Mus musculus: one gene and its partner. The main gene of each other region encodes a partner of the protein of the gene in region 2 in a complex. Links are inferred from orthologs where the notes say so. Each region holds a gene or a part of one and is shown on either strand. Other genes may lie near its edges.

The links. The genes of interacting proteins can lie anywhere in the genome.
Region 1: Arid1b (region 2) and Smarcd1 share a complex: the UniProt entries of both Homo sapiens proteins name them as parts of the neuron-specific chromatin remodeling complex. The link is inferred for Mus musculus from reciprocal best matches to the Homo sapiens genes ARID1B and SMARCD1.

What each region holds. Positions count from the first base shown.
Region 1 is NC_000081.6:99,705,218-99,708,861, forward strand, and holds part of Smarcd1 (SWI/SNF-related matrix-associated actin-dependent regulator of chromatin subfamily D member 1), read left to right. Parts: intron 1-409; coding exon 410-526; intron 527-1,287; exon of another isoform or gene 1,288-1,629; intron 1,630-2,093; coding exon 2,094-2,195; intron 2,196-2,422; coding exon 2,423-2,584; intron 2,585-2,667; coding exon 2,668-2,765; intron 2,766-3,644. UniProt on the Homo sapiens protein: Involved in transcriptional activation and repression of select genes by chromatin remodeling (alteration of DNA-nucleosome topology).
Region 2 is NC_000083.6:4,993,675-4,997,917, forward strand, and holds the start of Arid1b (AT-rich interactive domain-containing protein 1B), read left to right. Parts: upstream 1-1,420; coding exon 1,421-2,818; intron 2,819-3,250; exon of another isoform or gene 3,251-4,243. UniProt on the Homo sapiens protein: Involved in transcriptional activation and repression of select genes by chromatin remodeling (alteration of DNA-nucleosome topology).

The DNA.
Region 1 (3,644 bases), on a different chromosome or scaffold from region 2:
AGACCCTGCCATTGTTAGTGCACTGCTGTGGCCAGGACTGACTTAGTGGCTGCCTAGCCATAACCAGAAGATATTTCCCCAGTGGAGTTAGAAATTGCTTCTTTTTTTTTTTTTTTTTTTTTTTTAGATTTATTTATTTATTTATTTATTTATTTATTATATGTAAGTACACTGTAGCTGTCTTCAGACAGCTACAGAAGAGGGCGTCAGATCTCATTATGGGTGGTTGTGAGCCACCATGTGGTTGCTGGGATTTGAACTTCGGACCTTCGGAAGAGCAGTCGGGTGCTCTTACCCACTGAGCCATCTCACCAGCCCTAGAAATTGCTTCTTAAGGAACTCCATCCTGGGGACTTCTTTCTGGCCTTGTGTAACAACACACTCCACCCACTCCCCATCTCTTTTCTAGGCGGCCTTGTCCAAATATGACGCCACCAAGCAAAAGAGAAAGTTCTCTTCCTTTTTTAAGTCCTTGGTGATCGAACTGGACAAAGACCTCTATGGCCCAGACAACCATCTGGTAGAAGTGAGTAGTTCTGCCTTCCAGGCCTTAACATTTTCAGGGGATGATTAGCCCAGGTTCACACATTGGCCTCTAGGCGGCGCTAGCTGTGCTGAGTTGGGCCCCAGGAGCTCTTGGTAACTGATTTGACTCACTTGTTGCTGTCCAGACTGCTGCCCCCAAAGAGATCTTGGTAGAGTGGAGTCCTTACACTTTCAACTGTCTCTGCGTCTTCCTTTAAGTATTGGTGGGCTGTAGTAACTGACGTGTTTTATTTTCTTGATAGCAGTTTCTGTAGCTAATGGGTGACTCGTAGACTAATAGAGCACTAGCTTGTCTGGGTTACTGATCTGTACCTTCCTCTTGGCCCCTGATCCTTTAGATTTATCCTTCAGACAGCCAGGAACACTTAACGCCTGGTTGTACAATGCTTCAAAGACTGTTAGCTGTTAGCAACAGGGTTGTGGGGACATAAACTAGAGTGGCCTAGTGCTCTCTGGGGACTTAACCTGCCCCTTTCTTTACCACCGTAGCTGCAGCCCCTTATCTCCAGCCACTAAGAGACATGGGAAGTAAGTCACAGAGTTGGTAGAAATCTGTAAAGTGCTTGATTTGATAGCATAGCAGTAGTGTAGAGTAGCTAGACCTGTGGCCTAGAGTCAGCTCAAGTTCTAGCTCTGTAACGTACTGAATGTAGTGTGTCGTAGACTCATAGACAGCTTAGCCCTCAGTAAATTGAAGCTTAGGTTTCTTTTTTTTTTTTTTTTTTTTTTTTTTTTTTTTTAATATCCAAAACGTGTTTATTGGGAAGGTTCCCACTCATCTTCAATCAGGGGCTTTCAGTGCTGCTTCCTCCTGAAGGAGCATCCTTCTGTCAGCCTTGCTTTTCCACCTGTAGGCTGACAGAGGACAGTGGAGCAGCCAACACACAAGACTACCGTTTGTGCATGGCTAAAGACCGTGGTGATTTTATAGCATCCTGGGCATTTCACGTCCATAAAGTAGGAATTGGGGCTCTGCACCAGGCGCTTTTTTTTGTGTTTCCTCTTCTCCTCTTCTGGAGCGGGATGAAGGAGATCCTTTGCGAGAGGCATGTTCTCGTAGGGAGGTCGTCACCGCCGGAAAGGCGAAGCTTAGGTTTCTGTTCCATGTATAAAAGTCATTTTGTGGGTGAAATTATCACTGGGAATTTAAGCCTTTTTTTTTTTTTTCTTTTTCTTTTTTTTTTCCGAGACAGGGTTTCTCTGTGTATCCCTGGCTGTCCTGGCACTCACTCTGTAGACCAGGCTGGCCTGGAACTCAGAAATCCACCTGCCTCTGCCTTCCAAGTTCTGGGATTAAAGGCGTGCACCACCACTGCCAGGCGAATTTAAGCCTTTTTAAACACCGCCATTTCAAACAGGATTAGAAGGTTCTGCCTACATAGACAATAATTCCAAAGCCATATGTGTTTTTAGAGATACCTTGAGCTGTTGCTCTTCCCCAGTAGCCTCAGTAATCAAAGTTAAATGTTGAGTTATTACCGACACGCGTCCCTCCCACCCCAGCTCTTCCTCTGGAAGAGTACACCCTGACACCTTCCTCTCTGCAGTGGCACAGGACCGCCACTACCCAGGAGACCGATGGCTTCCAGGTGAAGCGGCCAGGAGATGTGAATGTACGGTGTACTGTCCTGCTGATGCTGGACTACCAGGTATGCTTTGGAGGTGTGAAGGAGTCCAGCTTTCACGGCCATATTGCATGAGTTCTTACTCAGAAGGGTCAAAGTCTATAGCGACAGCAAGCGAGTCTCTCTGTCCTCTAGCTTTGCTATCCAGATTTGCCAATGTTTGTTAGATTGAATGTGTTCCTGTACTGAGCGCCCCAAAAGACACATGGAGCCAGCTCGTTAGCTTCATCTGTACTCTTGGTTCCCCGCAGCCCCCCCAGTTTAAATTAGACCCTCGCCTGGCTCGGCTCTTGGGCATCCATACCCAGACACGTCCAGTGATCATCCAAGCACTGTGGCAGTATATTAAAACACACAAGCTCCAGGACCCTCACGAGCGAGAGTTTGTTCTCTGTGACAAGTACCTCCAGCAGGTATGTGAAGGGCACCTTCTATTTTGGGAGTCTCATCGCACTGAATGTGCCGATTTGTAGCCTCTCCCTCTTCCCCGCCTCAGATCTTTGAATCTCAGCGGATGAAGTTCTCAGAGATCCCTCAGCGGCTCCACGCCTTGCTTATGCCACCAGAGCCCATCATCATCAATCATGTCATCAGGTGAGTGTGTGCTGGCGCCCGCCTGCCCGCAGAGCAGTGAGTGTGTGCTGGCGCCCGCCTGCCCGCAGAGCAGTGAGTGTGTGCTGGCGCCCGCCTGCAGAGCAGTGAGTGTGTGCTGGCGCCTGCCTACAGAGCAGTGAGTGTGTGCTGCCGCCCGCCCGCAGAGCAGTGAGTGTGTGCTGGCGCCTGCCTACAGAGCAGTGAGTGTGTGCTGGCGCCCGCCCGCAGAGCAGTGAGTGTGTGCTGGCGCCTGCCTACAGAGCAGTGAGTGTGTGCTGGCGCCCGCCCGCAGAGCAGTGAGTGTGTGCTGCCGCCTGCCTACAGAGCAGTGAGTGTGTGCTGGCGCCCGCCTGCCTGCAGAGCAGCTTGCACGGCCCGTTGTCAGGCTGTGGTGGTCTTGTTAGATGTGCCTGTTCTGTTTCTGTTTAAATTACATAAGCTCCTTACTATATTAAAACTGATGGTGACACCAACTTGTGCTTGCCTGTTACTCTGCTCGCCTGTGAGGGGTTTATGCCCTGGAGGTGACTGTTGTGGTGGCATGCTCTTCTCTGGCCCATGCTAGAGTTAATGGCTGGATGTGGGCCAGCACTGTCATAGCAGGCCCACTTCCCTTTGGAGTCTAGTTACCAGCTCCCACTATGGTGGGATCAGCAACCACCTTTTTTTTTTTCTGAGACAGGGTTTCTCTGTGTAGCCCTGGCTGTCCTGGAACTCACTCTGTAGACCAGGCTGGCCTCGAACTCAGAAATCCACCTGCCTCTGCCTCCCAAGTGCTGGGATTAAAGGTGTGCGCCACCACTGCCAGCTTGGACTCCTGCTTAAAACTTTACACAAAATGCCTTTGGTGCTACTTGAATTTTATGACTTTCATAAAGC
Region 2 (4,243 bases):
CATACCTACTTCCGGTGCCTTTAAAAAGAGTTATATAAACACCACCTTAGATCGGAGTGGTGAATCATAAGCAATTATTGAGTGCCTGCTGTGTACACGGCACAGCAGTCTTTGCTGCTTAACCTTCACTTAAGTCTTTCATAATTTCTCAGTTGGATGAAGTTGTGGGAATTAAGCCGATGGCCTGAAATTCAGGCGCAGAGGCCAAGGTTGTGAAAAATTACATAACTCCTGAGAGAGACCGAGTGCTTTTGCCCGGCCTGCCTGAGTGTTTCTCTTCTCCACCGGCTCCTCGCCACCTCTGAGGCCCAACAGACAACTTTGCTTCCCAGCCCCTTCTCCCTCTTTTGTCTGCTCTTCAGACTCGTTTTCCACCTTCGTACCGCTCCCTTTAGACGTGAAAACAAACACAGGGCCGCGCGCGGGTTGGCAGGGAGACCGGAGGCACGAGGGGACCGAGCAGCTTCGGGCCCCGAGCGCCGGCAGCCGGTTCCCCCCCCCCTCCCCTCGCTCCCCCGGGCCGGGCCCTCCGCGCCAGGCCGGGCGAGACCAGCCGGGTGAGCGGGGCGAGCTGGCGGGCGAACGTGCGCTCAGCGGCGGCGCCCGGGGCCGAGTCCAGTCCGCGTTTTGCGAGTGCGCAGCAGCCCTCGGAGAGAAGCGGATAATAGTTGCTCCGGCTCGCTCGGCTCCCTCACGCCGCGCTGGGCCCGATTAGGCTCAGGCAAGTCGTGCATTTCCCCCCCCCCCCCATATCCGGGTTAGAGAGGGGGGAAAAAGAGAGAGAGAGAGAGCGAGCGAGAGTGAGGGAGGGAGAGAGAAAAGTTTCATTGCAAGCGGAACTAAAAAACTTTCCGCCCGTTCAGGCCGTAGCGGGCGCGAGCCCCCGAGCGCAAAGGCGCGCCCCCGGCGGGCGGCCCGGGGCTGCGGGGGGTGGGGTGGGGAGGGCACCGCGCTTCCCCGCGGGCCGCGTGGATGCGCGCAGGAGGGGCGGCCGGCTGCGAGTGGGGACATTGTCTCCCCCCACCCCGCCCGGCCGCGCCACGCCGCGGCGATCATGGCCGCGCGGGCAGCAGCGGCGGCGCGGGCGCGGGCGGGCAGCGGCGAGCGGCGGGCGCCCTCGGGGCCGCGGCCGGCGCCCGGGGCCCGGGACCTGGAGACGGGCGCGCGCGGCGCGGTGGCGGCTCCGGGCCCCATCCTGGGGGGCGGCGACGGCGGCCTGAATAATGTGCACCACCACCCCCTGCACCCCCGTCACGACCTGAACATGGCCCATAGCGCGAGCGCCGCGGCGGCCGCCAGCTCCAACAGCGCGCAGAGCGGCCGCTCCGAGGCGGCTCTCAAGGAGGGTGGAAGCGCCGCCGCGCTGTCCTCCTCCGCCGCCGTCGCGGCCTCTTCCTCCTCGGCGGGCCCCGGCTCGACCATGGAGACCGGGCTGCTCCCCAACCACAAACTGAAAGCCGTTGGCGAGGCCCCCGCTGCACCGCCCCATCAGCAGCACCACCACCACCATGCCCACCACCACCACCACCACCATGCCCACCACCTCCACCACCTCCACCACCACCACGCACTACAGCAGCAGCTAAACCAGTTCCAGCAGCCGCAGCCGCCGCAGCCACAGCAGCAGCAGCCGCCGCCACCGCCGCAGCAGCAGCATCCCACTGCCAACAACAGCCTGGGCGGTGCGGGCGGCGGCGCGCCTCAGCCCGGCCCGGACATGGAGCAGCCGCAACATGGAGGCGCCAAGGACAGTGTCGCGGGCAATCAGGCTGACCCGCAGGGCCAGCCTCTGCTGAGCAAACCGGGCGACGAGGACGACGCGCCGCCCAAGATGGGGGAGCCGGCGGGCAGCCGCTATGAGCACCCGGGCCTGGGCGCGCAGCAGCAGCCCGCGCCGGTCGCCGTGCCCGGGGGCGGCGGCGGCCCAGCGGCCGTCTCGGAGTTTAATAATTACTATGGCAGCGCTGCCCCTGCTAGCGGCGGCCCCGGCGGCCGCGCTGGGCCTTGCTTTGATCAACATGGCGGACAACAAAGCCCCGGGATGGGGATGATGCACTCCGCCTCTGCCGCCGCCGGGGCCCCCAGCAGCATGGACCCCCTGCAGAACTCCCACGAAGGGTACCCCAACAGCCAGTACAACCATTATCCGGGCTACAGCCGGCCCGGCGCGGGCGGCGGCGGCGGCGGCGGCGGAGGAGGAGGAGGCAGCGGAGGAGGTGGAGGAGGAGGAGGAGCAGGAGGAGCAGGAGGAGCAGCGGCAGCGGCAGCAGGAGCCGGAGCTGTGGCGGCGGCGGCCGCGGCGGCGGCGGCAGCAGCAGCAGCAGCAGGAGGAGGCGGTGGCGGCGGCTATGGGAGCTCGTCCTCGGGGTACGGGGTGCTGAGCTCCCCGCGGCAGCAGGGCGGCGGCATGATGATGGGCCCCGGGGGCGGCGGGGCCGCGAGCCTCAGCAAGGCGGCCGCCGGCGCGGCGGCGGCGGCGGGGGGCTTCCAGCGCTTCGCCGGCCAGAACCAGCACCCGTCGGGGGCTACACCGACCCTCAACCAGCTGCTCACCTCACCCAGCCCCATGATGAGGAGCTACGGCGGTAGCTACCCCGACTACAGCAGCTCCAGCGCGCCGCCGCCGCCGTCGCAGCCCCAGTCCCAGGCGGCGGCGGGGGCGGCGGCGGGTGGCCAGCAGGCGGCCGCGGGCATGGGCTTGGGCAAGGACCTAGGCGCCCAGTACGCCGCTGCCAGCCCGGCCTGGGCGGCCGCGCAACAAAGGAGTCACCCGGCGATGAGCCCCGGCACCCCCGGACCGACCATGGGCAGATCCCAGGTAACCCCCGCGCCCGGCCGGGCCTGCTTCCGCCCGGGCCTCGCGCCGCGAGCCCGACTTTCTTTCTTCGCCGGGTACTTTTCCCGGCGGTTGGCGGGGGTGGCGGGGGCGCGGCGCCGCCGGGCCGGGGCCGGAGCTGGCGGGGCTGGGGAGCCGGGGTGTCCCGCGCCCTTGCTGCGCGCTGCGCTCCCGTGCCAGGCCCGGGACGGGACCTCGGTGCCCCAGGCCGCGCCCGCCCGGGGAGGGCTCTCGGGGCAGCGGGCTCCGGGGCCCGGCTTGACTCCGCCGGCGCCCACGGTGTGCCCTGAGTGGGCGCGGGGAGAGAGGAACTTTCTCTCTTCGGGCCTCGGTCGGTTTCCCATTCCCCTTGCGAGGAGGAGGCAGGGGGAAAAAAAAAACCAAAAAAAAAAAAAAAAAAAAACCCAAAAACCGAGGTTAGCTTTGTGACAGCCGTGGCTGGTGGAGTTTGGATGTTTACCAGCAAGAATAAGACCCAGATTTACAACGGGCGGAGGCGAAATATTGTAAAATAACATCGATTCGTTCCTAAGAATAGCTGGGGAGAGATCCATTATGGGGCTAAGGGCTCCTTGGAAGGAGTCACCTTCAACCGGGAGGCGATGTTGAAGGAATAGATTCCGGATCGATGGAACTTATTTTGATCATGGGTTAGGTTTTCCTTTTTTATTCAGCAAACCTAGTAAGGTAGTAGGCCAGAGAAAATGGGTCGTTGTGGATCGTATTTGAGTGGATTTTCTTGATTTTGCTGTCTCCCAAGTCCAACAGCGTTGTTAGGAAGTGTCTTGCGCTCTGGCTGTTTCTTGCTAGTAGGCTGAGCCTAAAGACTGACTTGATCTCTCCTTTGCAAGGTTTGGAATTTGAATTGTGGAGGTAAACTGGCTGTAATAGTCTCCAGACAGCTGCCTCTGAGTTGACATCTAATCTGCCATCTGATTGGCTCCCCTCTCACCATTGGGCATTTAGCACTGCTGATGTAAATAGAAGTGCGGAGCAGTACAGTCACAAAAATTCCTGACACAAATAATAACTGAACTCTATTCCAAGCACATGGAAGATTGAATACTATTTAGAGCTTAAATTGTTATGAATCATAGTTAGTAATAAAGGATTGAATACAGAGAAACATGCTGTTGTCCAGTATTAGGCATTTATAAAACTTGGGTCTTCGATGACAAATCTTACAATATGAACATTACATTTATTGTGGGCTTTAATTGTGGACTGAAAATAGGAGCATTGGGAAATAATTAATGCAAAGATTGGACCAGTTTGGGCTTCGTCAAGCTTTTTTATAAAAGTCTGCTTTTTACAGATCTAATTGAATATATTTTAATCCTACCAGTTTACAGTTTAATGCATTAAGATTTCAGTATTCTGAAATGCTATAACATTTCTTACTGATAT